Linked DNA regions of Ovis aries. The protein of the gene in region 3 purifies or fractionates together with the protein of the main gene of each other region. This does not show direct contact. Links are inferred from orthologs where the notes say so. Each region holds a gene or a part of one and is shown on either strand. Other genes may lie near its edges. The genes, in order: ANKRD44, ANKRD28, PPP6R1 and ANKRD52.

Region 1 (7,364 bases), on a different chromosome or scaffold from region 3:
CAGGGAAACCCATCTTCACCTACCAGCCTGGCTTGATTCCTCAGTCATGGATTTCTTTACAAGTATTTTTTTCCCCTGTGAACCCTTATCTCAGTCCGTAATTACATTCATTAGCGGTGATTATTTATGTCCAACATCTTCTGACTAGGTATCTTGGATGTTTATGCTCCCCCTTTCATATTGTGTCTATCCAGCATCTGGTGCAAAGTCAGCATTCAGTACATAGTTGTTGAATGACTAAGTGTGCATGCATGCTAAGTTGCTTCAGTCCTGTTCCACTCTTTTTTTTTTTTTATTTTTTTATTTTTTTTATTTTAAAATCTTTAATTCTTACATGCGTTCCCAAACATGAACCCCCCTCCCATCTCCCTCCCCATAACATCTCTCTGGGTCATCCCCATGCACCAGCCCCAAGCATGCTGTATCCTGCGTCAGACATAGACTGGCGATTCAATTCTTACATGATAGTATACATGTTGGAATGCCATTCTCCCAAATCATCCCACCCTCTCCCTCTCCCTCTGAGTCCAAAAGTCCGTTATACACATCTGTGTCTTTTTTCCTATCTTGCATACAGGGTTGTCATTGCCATCTTTCTAAATTCCATATATATGTGTTAGTATACTGTATTGGTGTTTTGCTTTCTGGCTTACTTCACTCTGTATAATCGGCTCCAGTTTCATCCATCTCATCAGAACTGATTCAAATGAATTCTTTTTAACGGCTGAGTAATACTCCATTGTGTATATGTACCACAGCTTTCTTATCCATTCATCTGCTGATGGACATCTAGGTTGTTCCCATGTCCTGGCTATTATAAACAGTGCTGCGATGAACATTAGGGTACATGTGTCTCTTTCAATTCTGGTTTCCTCGGTGTGTATGCCCAGCAGTGGGATTGCTGGGTCATAAGGTAGTTCTATTTGCAATTTTTAAAGGAATCTCCACACTGTTCTCCATCTGTTCCACTCTTTGCGACTCTGCGGACTGTAGCTCACCAGGCTCCTCTGTCCATGGGGATTCTCCAGGCAGCAAGAATCTGGAATGGGTTGCCATTTCCTTCTCCAGGAATGAATAAGCATTTGCTCCAAATTCCACAAGTATTCAGTTCAGTTCAGTTCAGTCGCTCAGTCGTGTCCGACTCTTTGCGACCCCATGAATCACAGCACGCCAGGCCTCCCTGTCCATCACCAACTCCTGGAGTTCACTCAGACTCACGTCCATCGAGTCTGTGATGCCATCCAGCCATCTCATCCTCTGTCGTCCTCTTCTCCTCCTGCCCCCAACCCCTCTCAGCATCAAAGTCTTTTCCAGTGAGTCAACTCTTCACATGAGGTGGCCAAAGTACTGGAGCTTCAGCTTTAGCATCATTCCTGCGAAGGAAATCCCAGGGCTGATCTCCTTCAGAATGGACTGGTTGGATCTCCTTGCAGTCCAAGGGACTCTCAAAAGTCTTCTCCAACACCACAGTTCAAAAGCATCAATTCTTTGGTGCTCAGCCTTCTTCACAGTCCAACTCTCACATCCATACATGACCACAGGAAAAACCATAGCCTTGACTAGATGGACCTTCGTCGGCAAAGTAATGTCTCTGCTTTTGAATATGCTATCTAGGTTGGTCATAACTTTTCTTCCAAGGAGTGTCTTTTAATTTCATGGCTGCAGTCACCATCTGCAGTGAGTTTGGAGCCCAAAAAATAAAGTCTGACACTGTTTCCACTGTTTCCCCATCTATTTCCCATGAAGTGATGGGACCAGATGCCATGATCTTCGTTTTCTGAATGTTGAACTTTAAGTCAACTTTTTCACTCTCCTCTTTCACTTTCATCAAGAGGCTTTTGAGTTCCTCTTCACTTTCTGCCATAAGGGTGGTGTCATCTGCATATCTGATGTTATAGATATTTCTCCCGGCAATCTTGATTCCAGCCTGTGTTTCTTCCAGTCCAGTGTTTCTCATGGTGTACTCTGCATATAAATTAAATAAGCAGGGTGACAATATACAGCTTTGACGTACTCCTTTTCCTATTTGGAACCAGTCTGTTGTTCCATGTCCAGTTCTAACTGTTGCTTTCTGACCTGCATACAGATTTCTCAAGAGGCAGGTCAGGTGGTCTGGTTAACACTTTACTATGATTACATATACTACTGTTGTGTGTGTGTCCCATGCTCTTTTACAGCTGGGTCTTCTATCTGTTGAAGAGTAGGGTAACTGGATTTTGTAGAAATGAGTGGGTCAACTGGTGGAAACCCTCAAAAAACCAATTAACGCAGCAGTACAAGACCTTTTCTTCTCCTGTAACGTTGCTCCATCTTCTTCGTCCCCAAATCAAAACCCAATGTTTGAATTTAACGATGGGGTTCTGCGTGTCTAGCAGGGAGGTAGCTGGAGAACAAGGTAAAAGGGCCAGAGCCCCACCTCCCTACCCTCCAAGAGTTTCACAAAAACTAGCTAAAGAATGAGTCAGGGTCTCCTTGTATTAAACAAAGAGAGCACCAGCCTTGCGGTCCCTGACCAGGTGGGATGATTTGAAGAGCTGGGCGGATTCCGGACTAGGGAGAGGTTTAGAGGAAGGCGTGTGGTCCAATCTCCTGATTTGAAATTGGCTACAAGTGAATGCAGCCTTTATTGCCCCTCGGGTGTATCCACAGGGAGTGCTCACGAGGTTGTGTGTGTGTGTGTGTGGGGGGGGGGACGGTGTGTGAGACAGGGCGAGGGGAGGGGTCACGATCAGCAACCCCCCACCCCTCCCCAGCCCGGGGGCCTCTAAACGTGTACGCTCTGCGTGGGGGGCAGCGTGGGCGACCGGGGGGCCCGGTCCCGCTAGCCCGCGCGCAGTGTGCAGGTGCGGAAAGCAGGCGGCAGTCTGACCCTACCGTGGCGCGCCCGGTGCGGGAGCCGGGGAGCACCCTGAGCCGCGGGCTGCGAGGCGCGCCCGCGGGCGGCAGGAGGCAGCGTCGGCCCAGGCGGCGCGGCGGCGAGCGAGGCAACGCGCGGTGATGTCAGTGGCGGCCCGGCTGGCAGCAGCCGGTACTTCCTGTATAAAGGCGGGCGGGCTCGGCTGCAAACCCTACTAGCCAGTGTCAGCCTCTCGGCGGGAGGAGGAGGAGAAGGCGGAGGAGGAGGAGGAGCAGGGGGAGGGCTGTCAAATTCGGGAGCCAGATTTTTTTCCCTTCCCTTGGCAATCCCTTCCGCTTCCCCGGCTCCTGGCGTGACATCTGCGGACCGGGGACCTGTATGTGTGTGCGCGCGAAGGAGCGGAAGAATGGCAGTGCTCAAACTCACCGACCAGGTAGGGGGCGGCGGCGCCGGCGGGCGGGACGCGCGGGCGCAGGGCGGCGCGGAGCCCCGGCAGGGGGATGGGGGCGCGGCACGGAGCGCGCCCGCGAGCTGTTTACTCGCGGCGAAGGGGAGGAGTGTGTGCGGCCGCCGGCTGCTCCGAAAGCCGGCGGCTGCAGCCCTCCTCCCCGGCTCGGTCCCCGCCCTGGGCCGTCGGAACTGCGCGCTCGGCTCGGCGGCTGGGGCGCCCCGGGGGTTGGGGAAGGGGCGGCGGGGCTCTAGCTGGCGTGCGGGGGTGCGTTGTCCACGGGCCCGGGCTGGGCAGGGGGAGGGGAGGCTCGAGGTGCTCCTCCGGCGCTGCGCAGCTTGGGCTCCTCCAGCCCGGGCGGGCGGGAGAGAGGCTGATGCGCGCCGCCGGGAAGAGGAAGGTGGATGGAGAGGGAGAAGGATCGCAGCCTGGGACCCTTTTCCCAGCCAAGCTGGAGACCGGCCCAGACCGTGGCTCTCGTGTGGTCGGGCTGTCTTTATCCTTTTGACGTGACACCCTGACTTCCTCTTTGGTAGCCCAGGGGCTGTGTGTGCGTCGTGCACGATGGAGATCTCAGGCACGGCTGTCCCTAGAGGAGGTGAAGTTCGGCCCGGGGTTCCACTCACAGTCGGTGGGCTACCCTCTGCCTGTGTTGATGAGCTTTGTCGCTTTCCGGCTAAGCCATAGCACGGGGTAGCTCTAGAGCCCTTTGCTTGGAGAGGTGGGGATGTTTGCTAGCTCGGTTGACAGTCCTCGCTGGAGGTCTGAGGCACGAGACACCCCTACCTTTTCGGACGCTGCTGCTCTGAGGGCATTGACACAAGCGCCCAGCCAAGTTGTATGACAAAACTCTGTAACTCCTCCTACGAAAAAAGGAAACAGCTTCCTTTTATTTCTTTTGCCATTTATTCATGGATAGTGAAATGAACATTGTTTTGAGGTCCTGGTAGGCGGAGAGGCAGACTTGACTTTGACACAGGCGGTCAAACATGCCAGCCCTTGGTGTTTAAACATCTCATACTTCTCAAGTGGGTTGCATCTGGTGCCTCCCTGTCCTCAGTATCTAGCCAGAACTTCCTGAGACTTAAGTGCAATCAATCACCACAGTAATTTGTTCTCCTGCCTTTAGAGTCAAAGTTTTGCTTTGCTTTCTGTATTTACAGGCTTTAAAAATTTTCTTTTTATATGGGGGAGGGATCACTGAATTAAAATGAACCTTATCGTTAAATTTAGCAGGAGGAGCAGCTGGTAGTGATGAATCTATTTGTTTCCATTGGTTCCAGAGCATTTAAGAGTACTTGTAAGTTGATATTAGTTTAGCCCTACCCCCAACCCCCCACCTTTTAGTCACATACTTTGACAACTGTTAGACATTTGTTTTAAATCTTTCGATTTTAGTCTGCCTTGGTCATGTTATCTTTTGCCATTGCAAGTTACTCTACTTCTCTGTTAATCTCTAAATATTCATCTTCAAAGTACACAAAATGCTTCTAATAGGTGTTGTCATTTTCACATACACAAAAGAATTTTACATAGAACTTTAGAGCTGGAAGGGATGCCAAAGGTGATCTTCACCCAAATCCTTAATTTTTTAACAAAGAAACTGAGGTCTAGACAAGAGAAGCAAGTCTTCCTCAAGGACACAGCTCTTGGACTTGTAGGGCAGAGATGCACTCCTGTCTCCTGCCTTCCAGATTTCTGTCCTTTCTTCTAGGGATGGTTGATATCTCCTGCTGTCTTGTCATCAGCTGTGTTGAAAGGCTGACAAGAAGGCATCCTCTGCTAAATCAGGATCAACCCTGGTGAAAAGTATTTTTTGATTTTAGAAAGTTATTCTCCAGGACTTGTCCGAGTAGAACTTTTCAAAGAGTTTCTCTTTTAAAGTGTTTTTGAATACATCCCCACCCTTCCCCCAACAAACTAGTCTCACTGTGGAGGGCAAGAAAGGGTTGTATAATGTTTATTTGATTCCATCTCCTGCTGCATAACAGGAAACTAAGGAGTTCTAAGATTCATGGACACCTAGAAGTTGACAGCCTATGGGGCAAAGCCTGAGGGAGAGGAGGTGGACTGGGTGGGGTAGAGTGGTGAACAATTATGGTTTCTGGGAGGCCTTAGGTCCAGGAACTGTGTGGTCTTTCTTGCCTTATATAGTCTTACCTTTCAGTTTGAAACTCTAAATTCTTAGAAGCTGGTTCTTAACCTCATCAGAGGCTTAAAATCCTTTGCTTAAACTCCTACTACAGGAGCTTTGCTTCACCGTTATGGTAGGGAACCACCTGCTTCAGATCTGGACCTTACGAGTTTGTAGAAATGCCTCGCTCTCCACTCAGCTGTGTATTAAAACAATCACGTGTTAATTCTCTCTCATTTGTTTAATGCCCTGTTTGCAAGGTGGATCTTGTTTTTGTCAAAGTTCTTGGACTTTTAGTATGAAGACACATTCTTGTGTTAATAACCTGAATCACTAGTTGTCTTGGGTTTTTTTGTTTTATTATTTAGATTTTTGTTTTTGAGTTTTATAATTTGTTTAATTGACATAACTGGTTTATAATAGTTAAGTTTCATGTGTATATGAAAGAATTGGCATTTCCTGTCCTGCTGAAACTGGGTGCAGGAGCTTGCTGGCGATGGTGGTCACCTCCTCAGTAGTCAGTCCCTCGCTGACATCTCTGTCATGCAAGAGGAGGAAAATGCCTTTTCCGAGCTCTGTTTTGGGAGAGTTAAAAGAAAGGAGGAAGGGAGAGGCAAGTGTGGGGTTTAGTTTTTTTTTCTTTTTTCACTATGAAAAGGAACTAGGAGCTATTGCTGCAAATAGACTTCGCATTGAGCACTTCTGCATTTGTAACTGTGTCTCTTCTGTTTTCCCCTTCACACAATACACATCATTTTTCTTACAGCGTTAGGGGGACTGATCTTCCTGGTTTGCCAAGACTGAGGGGTTTTCAAGGATATGGGACTTTTGGTACTAAAACCAGGAGATTCTAGGCAAATCAGGACAAGCTGATCACCCTATACAGCACAGAACACACTCACCTATGTAATTAACATAACAAGGTAATTATTTCCTCATCGATGGATATTGGGATTTTATTTATATCTTTATAAAGTGAGAATTTTAAGTTTGGGAAGAATTTCTTTACATCTAAATGTAATACATCTTAGTTAAAGATAGATGTGAAATTCCTTGCAATATTGAACTTTATGGGATGAGGGGGGTGTTCTTTATGTCATATAGTGAAGACATTGCAGTGATTTTAAGAATGTCATATCTTCAACCTGGCCTGGTACCTCCTCCCCAAAGTTTTTCAAAGTTCTGAAGCAGAATGGTAAGTTCTGTCGGACCTTTGAAATGTTCACCATTCTTTCCTGAATTTGCTAATGACAGCAGAATGCCATCTCCTTCTCTAGGATTCTTGCTGTAGGTGGCCCTTTTTGGAGCTTCCTGCCTGGAGGCCTTCTGGTTTGGTGTCCTCTTGCCAAGTCCTGGCTCATATTTTAGTCACTCACCTCCTTGCCAAAGGCAATGGCTGGCAGCTGTGGCAGTGGCAAGAAACTGGAAATCCTGCAACTTTGAAAGCAGTGTTTCTAGACCATAGTGTGGGGCACATTACATGTTTTACTGGGCTGCCCTTGTCCTCCCAGCAGCGCTGGGCTTATAGCAAACTCTGTGTCCAGTCCTGCCTTCAGCAGAGAAGGGAAAATAAAAGCTTCATTCTTTGGACCCTTCTCTGGTTGTTTTGAGATGCAGTCACGTGGTTTGGGGAGTGCACTTGAGGACTGGTGTTTCATGGCAGAGACCTAATAATGGCTTATATTATTGTGATCTTATTATATGCTGGGCCCTTGCCGTGAATCATTTGTCTTAATCTTCACAGCCATACAAGGAGGTAGGTGGTGGTGTGATTCCTGCTTTACAGATGAATAAAGAGGCTAATTGACTTGTTTGAGGTCACTCACCCAGTATGTGATGGAGTGCAGTGTCCTGTACAGCAGTCTGATTGCACAGGTGGGGCTCTAACCACATGGCTGTACTTATAATAGTTGAAAGGGCAGTGT
Region 2 (7,150 bases), on a different chromosome or scaffold from region 3:
AAAGACAACAAATATGATGATGACAATACTGTCAACTATCAAGAGTTACAAGAGAAAAGGAACCATTAAAAAACTGTCAAAACCCCATGAATCATTAAAGACAAAGTCGCCCTCAAGAAGGGTCTACTGATCTGAAACACTAACCAAGCTTTTAGTTCTAAGCTTGGTTCTATGTTTCAGACAAGAGATCAAGCTAGCAGATGTTAAGAAACAATATTTTAAAAGTAAGCAAAGAAAGGAATCTATAAGGAGAAAAGCAAAGACTAAAAGTCATAAAAGTTAAGAGGTCACACACTAGTTACAGACACAGAACGGTTTCTAAGGATATCACAGTGGAATAAACTGATTCTTAAAAACAATCTTTTGAGGATAAAACTTTTAAAATTTAAGATAATTTGATTATTATAGCAGAAAAGCAGTTGGCTATAATGAGGCTTTATAATGATAGAAATATTAACCATGGTTAGTAGGATTATAGACCAAACTTCCTCAATAAGATGAGATTTGTTAGAGTTCTGTTTAAAACAACAAAAAATAGTATATTAAATAGAACAAAATGCCTTTTTCTCCTTCTCCTAAGTGTATACCCCTACAATTATTTTGTCTTGAGTATACTCTCCAGGATACCCCAATTATATAAAGTAACCAGCACTTCATTTAAAATAAATCCTGAATGAGGTAAATGTTTCCAGTAAATATAAACTTAAACACAATGTTTAAGGGAAAAATGTAATAATAGCATTTTGGTTACATTTCAGAATGTGAGGATGAATCATTTTAGCTAACGATTCAAATTTACTCAGTTAATTCAACCTTAAAAAATAAGATACTTCTTATATCTACTTAACATCAAGTGGTCATGATACACTGTCCAAAAGAAGAGGGGAAAGATGAGTGCTGGAGATGAGGTGGCAGAACACGGCTTTCTTAGAACTGGCCAATCAATTCCAGGTCATCTGTTTTGCTGTTGCTATAGGGACCTTATGAATCACGACTTCTCCCTACTCTCCATCATTTAGAGAACTGAATCACGTATGAAAAAGATACTGAAAACATTAACTTCCAGTAAAAATATATACAGTAAAAAATTTGATGTTATTATAGTTAATTATATATTCTCACCCACCTCAGCTTAGTAAATTAAAAAGTTTTGCCACTGGAGAAACATACACAGAATTAGCTACATAGCCACTCTCCAAAACTGTCCCTCACATCAGTCCTGAATGTTAAATCCACTGTATCTTTAAAAGTCTGAAGAACTTTCAAACAATGTTTTTATTTACTGTGATACCCAAATAGATGCATCTTTGTGTATAATGTTTACCATGATTACTTACAGAAAGCAATTTAACCTCAGAACCAAGTTAGATATATTATAAATTTAAGGCATGTCTCTTATTCTAAGTTCACAATAAAGAATCCTCATCTGAATATTTAACAGTGAAGTGTCATGATGTCTATAACTTACTTTCAAATGGGATTCAGAAAAAGAATAAATATATGTGTAGTATAAATATAACTTGTGTAAATATTGGAGAGAAAGCAAATATGGCAAATGTTATCAATGCTGGAGGTTATATGGCTATTCAAAGAAGTTTTTCAATTTTTCTGTGAAAAATTTCAAAGTAAAAGGTTGGGGGAACAGAAATCCTTCACTGACTCCTACTTGTCCTAGGTTTTAGTAATTACCCTGAATATGCACGTCCAGTCCTTTCCTTTTTGCCTCAAGACCTTTCTACCTTTGCTTAGAGAAACTTACAGAATTATGTTAGGTCTTTTAACAAAAATCATCAACTCTAGCAAAGTACGCTTCAAGGCTGGTATCAGTGAAACTGTTTTACCTGAAAGTTAACATCTTCTTTCTTAAATATTAGTGCTCGAACTTCATCAGGATCTCCATTAAATATAGCTTGCACCAGTGAGGGCTAAAATACAAGAGAGTAATAAAAACATTAATCACACCACAGGGATGATGCTAAAGCTATTTCCACATAACTTTTAAATCTAAGATTTTTCTTCCCTATCACAACAAAAATCACTTGGCTTTGGACACGAACCAAGTTTCATGAAGTCAAATCATATGAAAGTACAAGATTCCTCTGAAATCCCTGGAAAAAAGAGTAGGCCTAATTGAAAAAAAAATCAATTCCACATGACCAAAATTAGGTAGTATTATAACCATAATTAGATTTTATATGAGTGGAAACCTTTTTTTATACAGATGGTAAAAAGAAAGTATCTTCCAAATAAATACAAGTGAGACATCTCAACACATACTTGTAGGACACAGCTCGTCAAACAGGCATTTGACAAGGAGCCCACAGAGGAAGCCTCTTTGAGCAGCTCTGTTCCGGGGACCCGAATAATTTGCATGAGTTAGCATTCCATGTGTAAAGATAAAAATCCAAAGAAAACCTGACAGCTGATGAAAATCATTATTATTCAAAGACCAAAAATTACTATAAATCTGAGTAACATGAAGAAGCAGACACATGCATGTCTAAATGTAACAAGTTCTTAATCAACGATATAGCCTCTCTGATAAGGTAACACATTATACTCTCAAACAAAAAGTTAATTGATAAGGTTTAAAAATAAAATTAAAGATGAAGTCTGATTCTTTTTCTGTAACAGCCCTGCATGTAAATATATAAAATTCACGACAGAGAAGGCTGTGTCTCGGTGTTGCTGACAACAGTCAACTTTCCTAAAACATACAGTTCCTCATACTTGCTACATTAGTTTCTAAAACCACAAAGTAAAAACTGAAACATGGGTGCTATAGCCTACTATCCTCAAATTATTTTTTAAACTCATTTTAAGAGATTAAGAGATAAAGTCTGAAATGTTACCGAAACATCTGAAAAAGTGAAAATAGGAAATGTGTGCATTTATACACAAGTAATATTACATCATACTCACACACCTATATTGCTTTCACTTGAGTTTTTAATGAAACTAGCGGAAATTAATTTGCATTTATTCTTAAAAAATAAAATTTACCCTGCTAGTTCAGTAAAAGATAGTAAACATATAAACTCTCGTATCTTACCAATACATTTCCCGAAGGTGGAGAATGTAGGGATTTATTTTCCTGTGGCAATTTAGAAATGAATGCAGGAGACTCATCTTCTACCTCCTCCAAAACAACAATACACACTCGACTCATTCGTTCTTTTAAAAAGCTGAATTCTAAGCTACGTGGTAAAAGTCACAGTTGGAAGAGCACAAGTAGCTTTTCCTCCTCTTCTGTACAGCACTTAGAATCATCCTCTAAAAAGCACAGCTGGTGTTTTTAAAGTTAACAAGCACTATCAGAAAAACTAAAGCTTAAAATTATAACTACATAACTCCCTAAAAAAAGAAAAAAAAAAACCCCAATTCTATTATTTTCTGTCAGTTAACTGTAAAACTTAGAAGAAATTTCACATCAACATGTCAAGAACTAAAACTGAGTCCGGAATCAGCTCATTTAAAACTATTTTTCCGCTACCAAGATAGTCATATTACTACTCTGTTTTACAGAAATTCACTTGCATAAAAAGATCACTGTTCGGGTGATAGCACCACACACAACAGAATAAGACGAGAAGCAAGTGCTGAGACAGACGGTCACAGCGATGCCCACTCCTGCCTGCAAGGTCATAGTTACCAGCAGCTGGCTTGCTTATCATTGAAAATAAAATATAAAATCTCACTATTCGGTTTCCACTTCTAATTTGTCTTCACTTCTTCAGCTTCGCTGGTTTAATACAGATACTATCCAGAGGAAAAAAAAAAACAAAAAACTATAGCTAGAGCTCTCAAAACGTTGCTCAGAGGTTGACAATTCTTTCTGTGTTTGAGAAAGAAAAAAAACAACACTCTGCATTAATAGCAAAGCTGCAGTACATTTACATGCAATGAGTCAGACCACAAGAGACAATAGGACTCTTGGTACTAGAATACGGCTTGATTAGTCCAGATATTCCATATAAGAGAGGAAAACAGTTAGCTTTATTCCCATCGACAGCACAGGAAAAGCAGAGTGTTCACTGCTCCTCCATCAGGCAGTGGTCTGTGGCTGCTTCAGCGAAAGGGCACAGGCACCAAGCAGACGCGGTGTTAGCGGAGAATCCTAACGGAACAGGCAGGCTGTGAAGGAATTAGAAGGCGTCTGAGCTCAAATTACGGCTTCAGGCTTTTCATTTTTAAAAAAGAGAGGGAGAAAACTCCAGTAGTTTATCATTCCAGTGTTTTCTTTGATCTCCACATGAATGCAGCTTCCATCAAAGAGTCTTCATTCAGAGGAAAAAACAGCAGACTGTGCATCTTCTCTGAGCCAACTACTTTATTCAGTCATCTGCCTCTGTGCCAATATAGTTTCCTTCCACTGTGAAAACCGCTACAGTTTTCCTTTTCAGTCGATTTCAGATGCTTTCCTGTTCCTCATATGATCTTACAAACCGCCACTGACACCTCCAAATGAGTAGTAGGTCCTTAAAAACCAGAGAACCTCAGGATCGGCCCCATTGAAGCATTCCAACTGAGCAACACTCTGAAGAGCAAGGACTGCAGAACCGCAGGGTGAAATGCCTAGTAATGCTCACATGTTTCACTTACCAGAGAGCTGAGCTACTGCTCCGGATGTGACTTCCTCTAGCAGGAGAAAAAAACGGTGCGTTTGGACAGCCTTCACAATTAGAAGGTTCATGCCAGTTCTGTGACTAATCCAGATCAAACTAAAAAATTCTATAACTGAAAAATGAGTGCGCTTTTAACATTTTCCACTAAAAGCCACAAGGAAATCTGGTGTACTGCCTCTGCTGACTAACAGTGGTTTTAGCAAGTAAACAATTCCAAACAGTTTAACTGCTTTCGTATGTTGCAATATGGCAAATGTTTAACCCTACAGTGACAGCTGCAGTGAGAATGCAGTGAACCCATGAAAGAACTAGAGATGGAGGAGCATTTCATGAGAACATAAATACCATAAGCCCAAGGTTTTCTGCCTATTTCCTCTAGACCATTTTTAATCTACTAGATGTATGTTATTTTCAAGAATGTAAAGAAGTTTACACAAAAGAAATTTAAGATTTACTAACAACTTGAGTTGTTAAATTCAGTCAACCAAATCATATTTTGAAAGAGAAAAATGAAAACCCCATATTGGAGAAATTCTAATTGTAAAATTCTACTAATCACTTGAATTTCACAAAAGAAATAATACTGTCTTCCCATCTGGATGTGGAACAAAGCCTTAAAATCTGTTGAATAGCTACATAAATCTATTCTTTCAAGTCCTTGGTAGTGAATTATCTATATGCCAAAAAGGTAAAGGGTTAACACAAAGCAAAGAATCTTCTCCCTCCCTATAAAAGTAATTATCCTGAAGCTACAAATAAGTGTCAAAAACAACCAATTTATAATTGGCTTTCTCCATTTCCTCCCCATTTCTTGGTTTTATTCAAGGATGGGGTTATTTTCCCACAGAAAAATGACAAAGAGAATACTATGATTCCGCCTCAATCTTTGTTTTCATCTGTCAACCAGCATTTTTATTAATAAACATAATAGCTATTCCTGTGCTAAATGTTACATTCTCATTTAATATTCACAATGGCCTTGCTATATTCCCATATGTACAGAGAAAAAACAGACTTAGAAATTATTATATCCATAGTTGGCAAATTAGTAAAGCTGTACCTAATTGTAAACACATGCTCTTTCTAATCTACTCTGCTTCCACTGACTATACACATACACTCTCATCAAAGAGTTCTGTGATCTATAACACCAGACTGCAAAAGTGATCTTAGGAGACAAACAATCTCAATGATTGTGAAAAGTTTAGGTAACAAAGTAACATACTATTTACTGCAATAATATTCCCAAACAAGTTATTTTTAAATAGGTTCTTCAGGGCTAATGTTACCTCACACACTTAAGTCAGTTGATTTATCAGAACACTAAAAAAAAAAAAAAAAAAAAAAATCCAGCATAATATAAACAAGAAAGCCAGAATTTAACAACAAAACCCATTATCAATTTATGTAAAAACCTATAATCCTAACGTAACTGTACTAAAATGTGCTAAAAAAATCACTTAGTTATTTTTAAAAATGTAAATGGTTTTCAGTCAAATTAAAGACATGCAAGTATTCTGACATGCATGAAACCACTATAGTAACAATATACTGTCACTGTCAGGGGGCCTCACCCCTCAAACAAAATCTTTTTTTTATACAGACAATTTTAGCTTGTTCTAAAGTCTCCAGTATGTAAGTTCACCTACTTAGACCTAGGCAAGTACATCCTGTTTTCTTGCTCTAGGTTAAATTCCGTACTTTGGTTTTTCCCAAACAGAAAGCAAGCTCCTTGAAGGCAGGGGCTATGTTACATACATATTGTTTCCTCCAATATCTTCCGTCTGTAAATAGTCTCACTGAAATAAATTCTATTATGTCACAAGACTCTGGAATAGAGTGGCAAAAATATGAAAGACAGTGGGGGTAGGATTCATGTATTTTAACCAGTAAACATGGTGGTATTAAAGTGCAGCAAAATGAATGCTGTGTCTCTAGTGGGAGAGCAGCTTAAACCTGTAAGTTGACAGCATATAAAACAATGATACTGAATGACAGTTAAAGCTGTGGGCTCAGCAGTCAGCCTACCTGGAGTTCAGATTCCAAGACAAAGCTGTGTCTTTGAGCAAGCTGCTTTAGTCCTTGAGTCTAAGACTTAGACTTCTGAGAATAATAATCTCCAGAGATGTTCACCTTGGAGACACACTGTAACAGAACAGTGACTGAGAGGATAGGCTCTGTAACCAAACTAATCTAATCCGGCTTCCTACTAAGAAACATAACTGTGTGACCTTGAGCAAGTAAGTTACTTAACATTTCCGTGAATCATTTCAGTATCTATTAAAGAGCTGAACAGAATCTACTTTGTGGTGTTATTAAGAGTAAAGTTTAAAATAAAGATAATAGTATTACTACAGATACTTAGGATAGTTAAAAGATATTCCTTGTGAAACCCTGGATACTGACAACCTGCCCCTACTGGGGAGGTGATTCCGTTTGGGGGTCCGGAGATTCCATCCTGTCACTAAGTCTCTACCCTTTTCAGGCCTCTAGAGAGCCTGCTAGAAACTTGTCCTCACACCCCT
Region 3 (6,668 bases):
GCCTTAGCAGCAGGTTGCTGTGTTCATCCCAGCTGTGTTCAGTGCTCCATCCTTTTCTAAGGCTGAGCAGTGTTTCACTGTATGGACGGACCTTGGTGGCCTGTCCGGTCCTGAGTTCGTGCGTGCTTGGGTCGCTGCACCCCTTGGCCACTGGCTGTAGATGGCATGTGTGGGGTTTGTGTCAGAGTCTCCTTTTCCAGGAAGTCTTCTTTGGTTTCCCTTTCTCTCGGCAGTCTCTCCTTCCCAGTGCCTATGTTCTCTCCCTCCCACGTGTTTCCCCGGGTCTGTGCGGCCCTCTGTCCTCGAGGGCAGGTGCCCCCCTCCAGTGCGTGGAGCTTCCTGATGCCAGGGCGGACCGGGGTCCTCAGCTCTCTCTCCCTCCCCAGCAACATTCCAACGCGTCCCAGTCCCTGTGTGACATCATCCGCCTGAGCCGGGAGCAGATGATCCAAGTGCAGGACAGCCCGGAGCCTGACCAGCTGCTGGCCACCCTGGAGAAGTGGGTTGCGGGGCCGCCTAGGCAGGGTGGGGAGCTGTCCCGGGCCCTCTTCCTTGACGCCCCCGCGCCTGCCCCAGGCAGGAGACCATCGATCAGCTCCTGAGCAACATGCTGGAGGGGGAGCGGAGCCCGTCCGTCCTCGTGAGTGGGATCCAGGTGCTGCTGACACTGCTGGAGCCCAGGAGGCCCAGGTGAGTGCCTGGGCTCCCCCCCCGCCGTGTGTGTGCATGTACACGTGTGCACAGGCCGCCTGCGTGGCTCACACTGCCCCCTGCCATGCCCGCTGCAGGTCTGAGTCCATGACTGTGAACAACTTCTTCAGTAGTGTGGATGGACAGCTGGAGCTCCTGGCCCAGGCAACCCTGGACAGTGCCGTGTCCAGTGCGGGGGCCCTGCACGCCCTGCGCCCACGTCTTAGCTGCTTCCACCAGCTCCTGCTGGAGCCGCCTGAGGTGGGCAGGGTGCTCGGGGGAAGCGGGGGGTGCAGCCTTGGGGTCAGGGCAGAGCTGGGGCAGGAACCAAGCCCAGCCCTCCACCTGCAGCTGGAGCCGCTGCGCACAACGTGGGGCAGCCTGGCCCCACCCCTGGGCAACACGCGGTTGCACGTGGTCAAGCTGCTGGCCAGCGCCCTGAGCGCCAACGACGCTGCCCTGACCCAGGAGCTCCTGGCCCTGGATGTGCCCAACACCATGCTGGTACTGGGGGCGAAGGGCTAGGGTGTAGGGGGCGGGGGTGGGGCGACGCTGGGGGAGCTGCTCAGAGCCAGCCTGTGCCCTCACCCCCAGGACCTCTTCTTCCACTACGTGTTCAACAACTTCTTGCATGCCCAAGTGGAGGTGTGTGTGAGCACGATGCTGAGCTCCGCGCCCCCTGCCGACAGCAGCTCAGACACGCCCCCCGAGAACCCTGTCGTGAAACATGTGAGCTGGGCTCCGGGATCCCCATCCCCTTTGGTCTCTGGGGAGCTCTGCTCAGGGGGAGAGTCTTGGTCTCTTCCGGAGGTCCAGAGTCTTGGAAAACAGACAGTTTTGTGCAAGGGTGGGGACTGGTGGAGTGGTGACCTCGGGGGCAGTGGGTATCCGGGGGGGACCAGGAAGGGTTCTCCTGGGGTGATGGCCCCTGCGCTCCTGGAGGTGCCTTCCTGGGTGTGGCCCTGGCCTCAGGGCAAAGCTGGAGCGCAGGCAGGCAGGGTGGCTCTGGGGCTTGCTGTGCAGGCTGAGTGGGCCCAGAACAGGTGAGCAGGGCAGCAGTGCTATGCTCACACCCAGTGCATGCCGCCCCACCCCCGCAGCTGCTGCAGCGGTGCCGCCTGGTGGAGCGCATCCTGACCTCCTGGGAGGAGAACGACCGAGTCCAGTGAGCAGGGGGCTCCTGGGCGGGGGCGGGGCCTGCTCCAGGGGGCCGGGCGGCCCGAGTCCAGCGCTGGCTTCCCTCTCTCCAGGTCTGCAGGGGGCCCTCGGAAAGGCTACATGGGCCACTTGACGAGCGTGGCCAATGCCCTGGTGCAGAACTCGGAGAAAGGGCCCAATGCAGAGCAGCTGCAACAGCTCCTGAAGGGTGAGGGCGGGGCGCGCATGGGAGCGGGCGGCGCGGGCGGGGCTTCCGTCCTTACGTCACACCGCCCCTTCCGGCAGAGCTGCCGCAGGAGCAGCGGGAGTGCTGGGAGGCTTTCGTGTCGGGCCCCCTGGCGGAGACCAACAAGAAGAACACGGTAGACCTGGTGAGTTTTCTGCGCCGGGTTCTCCTCCAGGCCCGGCCCCGCCCCTGCCCCGAAGCTCCTCCTGCCCCAGGCCTCCCCGGGCCCCGCAGGCCCTGACCCCTTCCCGCCCCTACCTAGGTGAACACGCACCACCTGCACTCCTCCAGCGACGACGAGGACGACAGGCTCAAGGAGTTCAACTTTCCTGAGGAGGCGGTGCTGCAGCAGGTGCGGGCAGGGAGGGCAGGGGAGGGAGGCTGTGTGCAGGCCTGCCCTGACTGCCGCCCCCCGCAGGCTTTCATGGACTTCCAGATGCAGCGCATGACCTCGGCCTTCATCGACCACTTCGGCTTCAACGACGAGGAGTTCGGGGAGCAGGAGGAGAGTGTGAAGTGAGTGGGCCAGGCGGAGGCGCGGAGGGGCGCGAGGCGGCGAGTCAGCGCGCACTCACATGGTGCGTGTCCGGCGTACCCATGCCCACCTGGCCCGGGTCGGGCTCAGCCTGCCGGCTGCCGGCCTCTCACCCTCCACCCCCGGGCAGGAGCGGTGCGGGCGTCCTGGGACACGAGGCTGGCTGCGCACCCTCACAGACTCAGAACTCGTCTGCCTCCCCTCCCCTTCAGAGGCCTCGGCCGACCGGGGAGGGTCCTTTTCAGTGACCGGTTCTGATTCTCTGCATATGTTGTACCGCACGTCAATATCGATTGCTCTGATACTGCCCTGGAACTTTTTTCTTGATTGTCCGAATTTTCTGCCATGGACGTTGGTTCTTTTAACCGAGAGACAGTTAAAAGTTGTGCTGTTCTGTTGGTTTTACGAGCACCCTTGTGATGGCCGTGGGTGCACAGTGAAGGGAAGGGCAGGCACCTGGGATCCAGAGAGGAGACTGGTGGGGAGCGGGGCGGCTGCCTGCAGCCTCGCGCTGGGCCCTGGGGCCGTGTGCAGTGACCAGCGCGGCCAGTGTCCCAGAGCAGATCCGCCTGGGATCCCCGGGGGGAAAGCGGCCGACTCCGCGGGGCGTGCCAGGCAGGGTTTCCCAGTTGTGGCCCCACCTGTGTTGTTGTGGGCAGCGTGTTGGGCCCCTGTCGGGTGTCACGCAGTTACCTGTCAAGACCACTCTCGGCTCAGGAGCCCGTCTGCAGCCAGGGAGACAGGGCACCAGCTGCTGTCTGTTGTGCCTCGAGGCAGACAGAGACCCCCTGGGAGCAGAAGTGCAACCTGTGCCAGCTGCCGCTCTGCCTGGCCCGTGTGTGCTGGGAGGCCCCGGAGGAGACCCTGGCCAGGGGGCTCAGAGAGTGGCCTGGGCACAGCCGGCTGCGCTGTTAGGACAAAACTGTCACCTCTTTCATCAAGATAAACGCCAATGAGGTGAAAGCTTTAAATGTTGGAAAAAAAAAAAAAAAAGCTAAAGCCATGAAGTCTCCTGGAACAGAAAATATGTTTGCAAACTCAGGGCTTAAGGCGCTGCTCACCGGGCCTCCAGCCGTGCCCGCAGCTGCTCCCTCCCCTGAGGGCGCTGGGGTACCTGCCTCGGTAGGGGTTGTGAGCCAAGTCAGCCTGCGGGGGTTGTGAACGTGCTTCCTGGGTCGGAGACAGCAGGCAACAGGCTGGAAGCAGCCCCGGCACAGGAGAGGCCAGACCTCAGTGCAGACATGGTGCTCTCCCGCCCTGGGAGAGAGGCAAGCAGGGCCAGCAGCGGCTGTTGGAAAATTGCAGTGTGCAGGTCGGAGCGTACGTGGGCAGAGCTCTTCCCACGGTGTGGGTCAGGACTTAAAGTGTGTGGATTTGATTCCTTCATCCAGGAGTGGCGCTTCTGTGCGGCTTTCTGGAGGGGAGAGAGCCGAGCAGAGACTGGTGGGCACGTGTGGACGCAGAAAGGCTGGGGGTGCGAGGTGGTGGTGGGCACAGAACTGCCCGTGATCCCTGGGCTCCTGGCCCCTACCTGGGCCCTGCCTCGGGGGCCTGTGTGCCTCGAAATGGATGTCTCACTCAGGTTATGATGTCAAAGCCTGAAAGCCTAGCCTGCCCGGTGAGGTTCTGTGTCCTTTGTTTCATGAAGAGGAAGCAAGGTGCAGGAGCCTTAGGTCTCTGCGTGGGGCCTCGTGTGACTGCGGGCACACGGGCAGGGCGCCTTGCCCTGCAGACACCCTGCTGACGGGATGCCGCAGGAATGGCTGCAGTCCACAGACAGCCCTAGAAGGAGGTGTGTCTGCTGGGACCGGGCCCAGGAGAGAGGGTCCCTCACTGCCTCTGTGCCTCCCCAACAGCGCGCCTTTCGACAAGACGGCCAGCATCACCTTCTCCCTGAGTGCAGACGACGACAACGTGAGCTGCCCCGACCACTGCTGGGGGTGGGGGTTCGCTGCGGGCAGGTGGCCCACCTCACCCTCCTGCCCTGCCCCCACAGCCCAATGCCAACCTGCTGGAGATCTGCTACAAGGACCGCATCCAGCAGTTTGACGACGACGAGGAGGACGAGGAGGAGGGCCAGGGCTCTGGGGAGTCTGACGGGGAGGACGGTGCCTGGCAGGGCGGCCAGCTGGCCAGGGCGGGCCGCCTGGGCCAGGCCCCGGGCGTGCGGTGAGTCCCCCCGCTCCCTTCCCCTCCTCTCCTGCAGGTTCCCCAGCGCAGCCGGGCTGCAGGACCTGTGGGCAAAACAAGGAGAATGGAGTGCGTGTGTGATGTGGGCAGTTTTCAGTGTTGAGTGATAGAAACCCAATTCAGATGCGTTCAGGTTCAAGAGGAGTAACCGCTTGGTCCAGGTGTCAGTGGGGCCATCAGGAGGCAGGTCCTTCAGGCACAGCTTGGCCCAGTGGGGGCATCAGAGGTGGTCCTTCTGGCACGGCTTGGTCCAGTGGGGCTGTGGTCTGCCCACCCCGCCCTCTATTCCGCTCTCCCCTGCGGCAGCTCTCTCGCACGTGTTCTTGCCAAAAGGGCAGTGGGGTGTCACGCCAGTGAAGCAGGACGTGGCGATTGTCCTTGCTCACAGTCCAGCTGCGGGCCTGTGAGCCGTGTCCAGCCCTTTGTGCGGGCAGTGGCTGGCACAGGAGCACTGACTGACTGCTCTTGGGCAGCATGGACTTGCCGGCGTGAACACCAGCTCAGGGCTGAGCCCTGTGACATGTGACCGGCACTGAGATGACGAGACAGGTCATGAGACAGGTCATGAGTGGCGGCCGCATGGGCCTCCCTCTGTGGCACCCAGAGGGGAGAGTGCAGCACTCCCCAGCCCCTGCTGGCTGCCCGCTGCCCTCCGAGGGTGATGTTCTTCTGACCCTTGCCCTTTGAGTTTTTGCCTCTTATCCCATGAGTGAGGCCCGTCCCTTGGGTAGGTGTGGTTGTGCCCTGTGTGACTGCCAAGTTGCTTTGCACTTAACACGTGTCATTGCTGAATCCAAGGTCGTGATTCATCCCTGTGGTTTTCTTGGTAATGTCAGTTCTTAACGTTTAGGTTTTTGACCTGTTGTGAGCTAGTTTTTTAGGTGTGTAAGCTGAGGGGTCCAGCTTCATTCTTAGGCGTGGAAATGCCCGTGTCCCAGCTCACAAGTTGAAGAGACTCCTGCAGGATGGTCTGTGCACCTTTGTCAGAAGTTTTTTGGCTGTTTGTGCAAGCATTTATTTTTGGCCTGTCTTTCCTGGCCCATTGGTCTGTACATCTCTATGCCAGTGCCGCCCCCGCCCCCCCCGCCCCCCGCCCCTTGATTGCATTGTACTGAATTCTGAAATTCAGTACTGAAATTGAAAATGTGAGCATCCAATTTGTTCTGTTTAAAATTGTGTTGATCATTCCGGGTTCAGTTCCTAGAAATTCCAGGTGTTAATTTCAGTAGAGAAAGCCAGTTTTTGAGAGGGATCGCCTTGAATCTATAGGTCAGTTAGAGAGTGTTGCCATTTTAACAATATTTTGTCTTTCAGTCCATGAAGTTGGGCTGTCTTTACGTTTGTTTAGGTCTTAGTTACTTCTGACAGTGTTTTGTAGTTTTCAGAGTATTAACTTTTATGGTGCTTTTGTTACATTTATTCTTAAGCAATACATTTAAATTTATTCTTAAACATTTTTGATGCAATTCTGAGAGAAATGTTTTCCTCAGAGACATTTTGAAGTGGTTATAAGCGTATAAAAATACGAGTACACTGGCACACTGATCCTCGCGGAACTGCTTGCTCTGACAGTTTGAGAGGGTTCGTTGGTCTCCTGCACACAAGCTGTGCTTGCTGCAGTCAGAGACGGTTTTGCTCCCTCCTCTCCAAGTGGGGAGAGAGAGCCCCTGCATCACGCGCTGGTCTTGGGGCCTCGGGGCTCGCTGTTGAGTGTGGCTTGTGGGCTCTGGAGACCATCCCAGGTATCCAGGGTCAGGAAGCTCCCTGCACGCTTTCTGCGAGCGTCTGGCTCGTGAGCACTGTGCGGACCGTGGGGCAGCGTCTTAACGCGCCTCTGGGTTTCCTTCGCGGTTCCCCGGTGGACACGGT
Region 4 (7,331 bases), on a different chromosome or scaffold from region 3:
TCAGCACCCCCAGAGCCAGCGTCCTCTCCCCTTAGCCCCAGACTCTTCCCTTCAGGCACCTGGTAGTTGACATCCGCCCCGTTGTTGACCAGCAGCTCCAAGCACAGCGCGCCATTGGTGGAGACGGCAGCCACGTGCAGCGGCGTGAAGCCCTTGTCGTTCGGCTGGTTGACGTTGGCTCCTGCATTCACCAGCTCGATCGCCACGGCATCCTGGCCCAGGTAGCAGGCGATGTGCAAAGCTGTGTTTCCAAAAGCGTTGGGCTCATCAATCTGGATTTCCAGGGGTGAGGGTCAGGGGACAAGGGAGGTATCAGTTTAAACAAAGTGGAAGCCGGCACAGATAGCCTAAAGAGTCCCAGAAATCCAACAATGGCCTCAGACTCCTAAGGTTCCCAACCCAGAGACTGAAGGCACTTCTGCTTAAGACAAGCATTATTCAGATCCTCTCACCACATCCCTCCAACTCCCCAAACCACACCAGGAACCCCAGCACCCTCCTATCTCCCAAAGAGATTCTGAACTCCAGCTCCCTGGCCTCACCCCAAACCCTCCGCCATGCTCTGCACCCTGACCTCAGCCCCCATCCGGAGCAGGTACTTCACCACTTCAATCTGGCCACTGGCAGCAGCTGTATGGAGCAGCCCATAGCCCTTGCGGTCCTTGCAGCCAAGGTCTGCGCCCCGTGCCACCAGCAGTTTCAGGACCTCCAAATGCCCTGGGAAGGGAGAGCATTCTCTGAAGGACATGGAGGGTGAGCACCTCCAAAGGCTGCAAGCCCACATCCCTGCCCGAGGAACCCCAAATCCTGCTCATCCCCCGATTCTCCTCTTACCTAGAAAAGCTGCCCAATGCAGAGGCTGCCGCTCCTTTTTGTCACAAACATTCAGGCTGGCTCCCTTATTGAGGAGCAGGTTCACCGTCTGTAGCAGGACAGCAAAGACACCTGTTCAGAGCCAGCTTCCTGTCTTCAGTGTACCTAAGAGCACCTGAAAAGGCTGAGGCAGCCCAATGTCTCTGTTCTTGGGCAGAACAGAGAACTAGGGGGAATGAAGAAAGCAGGCACTAAGGAGAACCCAGATAGATGTGGAAATCTGAGGTAAACTACTCAAGAGAGTCTCTTCAGGTGATCTGGTGGTTTTTGAACTCTTTCAAAGAAGTTTTCTAAATGTGCTGAAGGACATGGACTCTCCCTTCAGAAAAAGCCATGCAGGCAAACATTTTCCATGCAGCTTCAGAGGTTTTATCACCCTCTTGAGGTCCAAGTCAAGAATTCCCCTCTAACCCAACCATTCATTTGGTGCTTGAGCCCAAGTATTTATATAATCGTCTGGGCTGCTGCTCCCCAGGCCTAATGGCCTGGAAGCAGGGGAAGGGGGGTGGGAAGGGAAGGAAAAAGGCAGGAAGCTGGGCGTGGCCCAGAGTGGTCCTCACCTCCAGATGCCCACTATGCACTGCATGGTGCAGGGCACTGCGCCCACTCCTGTCGGCCACGTTGAGGCTACTCAGTAGGGGTGCCAGAGCCTCAGCACACTTGGTGGCCCGGTTGGCAGCAGCCACGTGCAATGGTGTCTGCCACAGCTTGTCCCGGGCATTCACATCTGCTGAATGTGCCAGCAGCAGTCCCAGCACCTTCTGTGGAGGGGCGGAGGATAAAAGAGAAGACAAAGGGGGAGCAGGAGGTAAACCAACAGGAGATGGAGGGGAGAACCGGTCAGCACAGAACACATGTCCCCTCTCCCCACTACCCCAGCACAGAGTTACTCGCGTTTTTCCAACACAGTGAGCTTTTCAATACCCACTTTCCATCTTCTGGATTTTCTTTGAGCTTAAAATCTTCCCTAACTTGCTGAGGAAAACACAGAACTCTTCCTCAAGTCACCTGGTATCGTTTCCCAACCCATACCCTGAAAATCTTCACCCACACATACAGCCACTACCGAGCAGATCCCCATATAGAGGCTCCTGACCTCCCACCACTTTTAGGAAAGATAAATGCTCCCACTACATTAATGCCCTGAATACCCCCTTCTATCCTTCCATAGGTATCAAAATCATCTCTATTACCTAGGTAAGCAGATACTGGCTCTCCAGGAAGAGAGGAGCTAAAATGCCCCTCCTGTTCACCACCCACCCCATTCCCATTCCCTAGTGGCTGGAGCCAGGGGAAATGACTGCCAAATCAAGAGGAAGGTCATCTTTTCCCGCTCTTCAGGATTGAGGGGCCCAACTGATTAGGTATGTCTGATCCTTGCGCTATCAACTTCTAGGCTGCCTAAGGGCCAGGGATGTCACAAACCACTCCCCCTCGACCCCCCACCCCTCAAGCACAAGGAAAGAAATCTTAGTGCCCAGAGGGGGTCAGACTCCAAGGCGGCCCCCCTGGGAGGGATGAGTCACTAAGGCCTGGCAGCAGGGCCCCCTGCAGTCTGCCAGCCCAGTGTTAAGCTCTCCCCTGACGTCACATCAGCTGGCAACACTCAGCCCCCACCCCCCTTACCAGCCAGTTCCAGGGGTAGGAGGGAGGGGCCAAGGTCCGGTCTCCTCCCAACCTGGGGGTAGACCATAACCTGTGGGGCAGTGGACTAAGGCTCTCCAACCCTTGCCATCCACCTTTAACTAACTCATCTGCTTCGGAAGGGAGAGAGGAGCGAGGAGGCCAGTACCTCATTTCGGGAGGCAGCAGCGCGATGAAGAGGGGTCAGCCACAGTGTGTCCTTAGCGTTGACATTAGCACCTGTGGGGACACAATGCTCTTTTGGTGGGAGTTGGAGAGCAGGTGGGGAAGAAAAGCCAGAATCAGGCCTGGAAATGTAGATGGAGACAGAACCTCGCCTGGACCCAGCTGGACCATCCTTGGATACAACAAATAGGCTCCTCCCTCAGGTCCCTCCCTGGGCACCACACCTTCCAGCTCCCCACTTTCACCTGACATCAGTAGCAACTGGAGGATGGGGACATCGCCTACGTAGGCAGCAGCATGCAGTGGAGTTCGCCTCTCTTGGTCCTGGTAAGGCAGAGAAGAGGAGCGGCTATGGGGGTGAACTACCCAGGACTCCAAGTCTTAGTGCTCCAGGCCTTTCCCCACAACCTCTTCGCATAGGTTCTGTGGCCTTTTAAACCCCAATCCTAGGTCAAAGCCAGGACCTAGGAGGGTGGAGTCAGGGGGTCGGGGCCACCGGCAGCGAAGCAACCTCCTTCTTCCAGGAGGGGTGGGGGCGCTGCAGACACGGATGGTTCAGAAGAGAACACCGTTTCTGGGCATCCTCAGCCCTACTGGTCTGTGCTCCAAGACTGCCCTGCTCTTCATCCCCAATGTACAGCAGTCGCCCATCCCAGGGTGGAAAGAGCTGCGGCCTCCCCCGAGCCGAACAGACACGGAGCCGCCCCACGCGTGGGGAGGGGTCCTGAACGCCAGGGCCCAGATTACCGGTTCGCCATCCTCCCTGATCTCAACTCACCAGCACATTGATGTTCTCCTTCTGCGAGAGGAGGGAACGCACTTCCTCCACATCTCGGCTAAAGATGGCCTGGACCAGGGGCGGCTGCAGGGAGAACCGGCGTTCAGGGAGCGGGCCGGAGCGGAACCGGGGAGGGGGGCGGGGGACACCGGGCTTGAGATGGGGGGCGACGCCGGAGGGGCTTCGTTCTGGGGTCCTGGCTGCAGGGGGCTTCCACGGTGTCTCCGCCAGTCGCCAGGCCCCCAAGGACACCGGCTCGGTTGAGGGGAGCGTGGCGTGGGGCGGGGCGGGAGCCCCGGGCTCGGGCCCAGCCTAGGCCGCACATCCCCGGGCTCGCGTGGCGGCGGCGTCGGGCCCTGGAAGGAGGAAGCGAGCGAGGGCAGGAGGGCTGACCTGGTCCGTGATGCTGAGGATCCCCATGGCCCGGCCCGGGCTCCGTCCGCATCGAGCTCCCGGCGGCGGCGGCGGCGGCTCCACCGGGGACACGGGGCGGCCCAGGCGGCGGCTGCGGCGGCGGCTGCGGGGAGAGCGCAGCCCCGCCTACCGGGGGGCGGGCGAGCGGGAGCCCGCAGCGCTCCCTGGCGGCCGTCGGGGGCCCGGCCGCAGGGCGCTTGCCGCGCAGGCTGCCCCAGGCCGCGGCGCCCTCCGCCCTGCCCCGGAGGTCCCGGCGGCCTGGGCAACCCCCACCTCGCGCCCTCGTTCCCCAGCTCCTCAGGCCGGCCGCGCCGGGCTCTTAGCTCGTCTGAAGCCCCCGGGAGATGCTCCACAAAATCCTAGCGGCAACTCGGGCCTCGGCCCTCCTGCGTTGCCTTCCAAACTGAAGACCAAATGGCGAGCCAGATCTCACTCAGCCCACAATGCCTCCGCCGAGCGAACGCCTCCGGTCCGCGATCACACAACTCAACATTCCCCACTGACTTGGGGAAGCCGGGCGTGGAGATCTGGGGGTTATATATGGCAATAGTCCCAGACGCAGGGAAGGCGCGTATCTCCGCTGGCGGTGACAAGAGTTGGGTAGAAAGGAAAGAGCAAAAGTGCCCAAACTGCAGAGGAGTGGGGGGTGGGGGTGGGGGGACCCTCAAGGATTCTTAGCTGCAGGAAAACCCCACAGAGAGGATAAAATAGCTAGCTGGCTAGCTGGCAACTGAAAGACTCCTAGCCCAACAGAAGGGGGCTTTTCCATTGCCTAATTACTCCACTGCCAGGTTAAGGTGGTAGGGTGGCTACATTTTAAAAGACTCATCAGTTTCTCCCCAGAAAAAGGTCGAGGTACTTCTCCACTGGAGAGACCAGGCTAATCAGGCAAGATCTAGATGGAGGTCAACCTTCCCAAAAAGGCAAAAAGAGAAAAGAAAAGTAGATATTGAAGAATTTATATACAATTTATAAAAGATTCAGTGTCCTGTGCCGAGCTCAGCAACTCAATATATGTAATCTGAGGAACACATAGGCAGAGGTATAAAAGCCCTCCTTTGCCTTCTGACAATCTAAGACCCTCATCACTTTCATCATCTTGATCCTTGAAAAATACACAAGTGCCAATGGTTTTTCTTGGAGAGAAAAACTGGGGAACAGGGAATAAGGAATGAGAGAGAAATTTACCTATCAGTATATACCTTTAATTTTTAAAAATTTTTACCATTTTGAAAACAAAATTCACAGTTTTACTGAAAACTTACCTCTTCCAGAAAGTCTTTCCTGGTTAACAGTTTCTTTTAGTTTTGACAGGTCTCCTTAACACTTCTATACTTAGTTTACACTGTCACAATCAGGTTGTTGTTTTGGATGGTTTTTTTTTTTCCACTTTTAAAAATTGAGATATAGTTGATGCACAATATTATATGTTGCAGATGTACAACATAGTGATTCACATTTTTAAGGTTATACTTCACTTATAGTTATTGTAAAACACTGGCTGTATTCTCTATATTGCAATCACAATCAAGTTTAAATTGCGCATCTTTATTGTTTTTTTCACCTTACATCTTTGACATACAGGAATCCAGTGTTTCAGAAGGGATTTTAAGCTCCTTGTTAGCCAGAGTCTTCCAACATTGGACTGTATGTTGGTTTTCTTTTCTATGAAAAAAGGATGCTCCAGGAGAGAAGTATATCAGAACAGACACTTAATGCTTGATGATGATGATGATGATGAAGATGAGGCTGAAGAAGTAGAAACTGAAGGTAGCTTGGAATCTGATGGATAGGGGTGTTGGGACATGTTGACTTATCTATTGGCTTTGACAGACCTTCCAGGAAGGGCTAACCTAGGATATGGCCCAGAGGATGGGGAGGAGGGGACTACATGGCCTCCATTGCCCAAAATAGCTTTTGGTAACCTGAGGAATTGGAGTCAGAGGTTGAACTGGGGTCACGTGCCTGGTCTGGCTCCTGAGTGGAAGTGAACAAGGGAGTTTGCCAGCCAGGTCCTCTGGGCAGCTGGAAGGAGGAGGGAGGGCTAGAAGAGTTATTTTTAATATTATTCAGAGCACAGAAAGAGGATTTCCCAATAGGGAAAAAAGGATATGATGTAGGTAACACAGTTACTACCAGGGCTCAAGGAGATGCAAGGCGTGGGGATAAGGAGGCCGGAAGTGGTCCTAAAGCCCTCCTATGCAAAGTGTCCTTCTGGAATACACTGCTGCTGCTACTGCTAAGTCACTTCAGTCATGTCCGACTCTGCGACCCCATAGACGGCAGCCCACCAAGCTCCCCCGTCCCTGGGATTCTCCAGGCAAGAACACTGGAGTGGGTTGCCATTTCCTTCTCCAGTGCATGAAACTGAAAAGTGAAAGTGAAGTCGCTCAGTCATGTCCAACTCTTAGCAACCCCACAGACTGCAGCCCACCAGGCTCCTCTGTCCATGAGATTTTCCAGGCAAGAGTACTGGAGTGGGGTGCCATTGCCTTCTCCCTCTGGAGTACACTACTGTATTCATATTTGGATAACTAAGCAGATGCCCGCCTGTCTTTAAGCCTCGATTTTCATTCTTCTGACAAACGTTTGCTGAGGCTTCAGCATTTAATTCAGCCCTATACTAACTGGTTTGGAGGTAGAAACTTAGAAGTAATGGTTTCAGGATTTCCCTCATCGGCAGTGGTTGGGACTCCATGTTTTTACTACCAAGAACGAGAACTAAGATCCCACAAGCCTTGAGGTGCTGCCAAAAAACAGAAAAATATATGTAATAGTAGGTTTTTTTTTAAGTAACAGTGTCTATTTTTGTGTTTATAAGTTAGAAAAACATATATATGAACATGAAACAATTAGAGAATATAGAATTCAAGCTACTTTATGTGGCATTATGTGTTCACAATAATGTTGAGAGATGGATTCAGTCAAGAGGGTCTTCCTGGAGGAGGTGTGTTTTGCCAGTACTTGAAGGAAGTTATTGATGTAGAATGACAGGGAAATGGAAGGAAATTGGTTGTTTCAAGTACAAGGGATGAACTAGGAAGAGTTTAAATGGCAATAATTACCTAATTTAATTAGTAGGGGGGACAGCAAGCAAATTGGCTTGGCAGGCCTGTTATACCTCCTTGGGGATTCTGTAGCAGTTAACTCGGTTAAGGCATAGTGTTAATGAGGTCACAGTTTAGGTATGTATCCCAGTTAATTTGTCTTTTATCTGACCAGATCCTTACCCGCCACTCTACACAGCTGTCTCACATGTCTAAGCCTTTAGTCAGAGGGGGTAGACAGAGAGTAGGGTTGGAAAGAGTAAATTTGTCCCTTAAGATCACACACCCTTTTGAGAATGGCTCCCCATGACCATCTTCAAACTGGAAGAAGACATTGTGTCTTGTTGGCAGGGAGGGTTCTGAGGGGGAAAGAAGAAATATTAAAAAAGAAAAAGAAATGAGATCATTCC

Evidence for each region.
Region 1: the proteins of PPP6R1 (region 3) and ANKRD44 purify together in Homo sapiens (co-immunoprecipitation; 5 studies listed by BioGRID and IntAct, counting the BioPlex papers as one, with this or other methods). This does not show direct contact. The link is inferred for Ovis aries from reciprocal best matches to the Homo sapiens genes PPP6R1 and ANKRD44.
Region 2: the proteins of PPP6R1 (region 3) and ANKRD28 purify together in Homo sapiens (co-immunoprecipitation; 4 studies listed by BioGRID and IntAct, with this or other methods). This does not show direct contact. The link is inferred for Ovis aries from reciprocal best matches to the Homo sapiens genes PPP6R1 and ANKRD28.
Region 4: the proteins of PPP6R1 (region 3) and ANKRD52 purify together in Homo sapiens (co-immunoprecipitation; 3 studies listed by BioGRID and IntAct, with this or other methods). This does not show direct contact. The link is inferred for Ovis aries from reciprocal best matches to the Homo sapiens genes PPP6R1 and ANKRD52.

What each region holds. Positions count from the first base shown.
Region 1 is NC_056055.1:199,621,868-199,629,231, reverse strand, and holds the start of ANKRD44 (serine/threonine-protein phosphatase 6 regulatory ankyrin repeat subunit B), read left to right. Parts: upstream 1-3,181; 5' UTR 3,182-3,263; coding exon 3,264-3,290; intron 3,291-7,364. UniProt on the Homo sapiens protein: Putative regulatory subunit of protein phosphatase 6 (PP6) that may be involved in the recognition of phosphoprotein substrates.
Region 2 is NC_056054.1:273,857,968-273,865,117, forward strand, and holds the start of ANKRD28 (serine/threonine-protein phosphatase 6 regulatory ankyrin repeat subunit A), read right to left. Parts: upstream 4,601-7,150; 5' UTR 3,170-4,600; coding exon 3,053-3,169; intron 1,926-3,052; coding exon 1,842-1,925; intron 1-1,841. UniProt on the Homo sapiens protein: Regulatory subunit of protein phosphatase 6 (PP6) that may be involved in the recognition of phosphoprotein substrates. Involved in the PP6-mediated dephosphorylation of NFKBIE opposing its degradation in response to TNF-alpha.
Region 3 is NC_056067.1:63,001,442-63,008,109, forward strand, and holds part of PPP6R1 (serine/threonine-protein phosphatase 6 regulatory subunit 1), read left to right. Parts: intron 1-386; coding exon 387-499; intron 500-576; coding exon 577-690; intron 691-788; coding exon 789-951; intron 952-1,041; coding exon 1,042-1,194; intron 1,195-1,284; coding exon 1,285-1,419; intron 1,420-1,790; coding exon 1,791-1,855; intron 1,856-1,940; coding exon 1,941-2,056; intron 2,057-2,133; coding exon 2,134-2,219; intron 2,220-2,336; coding exon 2,337-2,426; intron 2,427-2,492; coding exon 2,493-2,590; intron 2,591-4,465; coding exon 4,466-4,523; intron 4,524-4,605; coding exon 4,606-4,778; intron 4,779-6,668. UniProt on the Homo sapiens protein: Regulatory subunit of protein phosphatase 6 (PP6). May function as a scaffolding PP6 subunit. Involved in the PP6-mediated dephosphorylation of NFKBIE opposing its degradation in response to TNF-alpha.
Region 4 is NC_056056.1:163,290,421-163,297,751, reverse strand, and holds the start of ANKRD52 (serine/threonine-protein phosphatase 6 regulatory ankyrin repeat subunit C), read right to left. Parts: upstream 4,006-7,331; 5' UTR 3,881-4,005; coding exon 3,854-3,880; intron 3,545-3,853; coding exon 3,461-3,544; intron 3,007-3,460; coding exon 2,928-3,006; intron 2,737-2,927; coding exon 2,666-2,736; intron 1,635-2,665; coding exon 1,434-1,634; intron 923-1,433; coding exon 835-922; intron 718-834; coding exon 575-717; intron 273-574; coding exon 60-272; intron 1-59. UniProt on the Homo sapiens protein: Putative regulatory subunit of protein phosphatase 6 (PP6) that may be involved in the recognition of phosphoprotein substrates.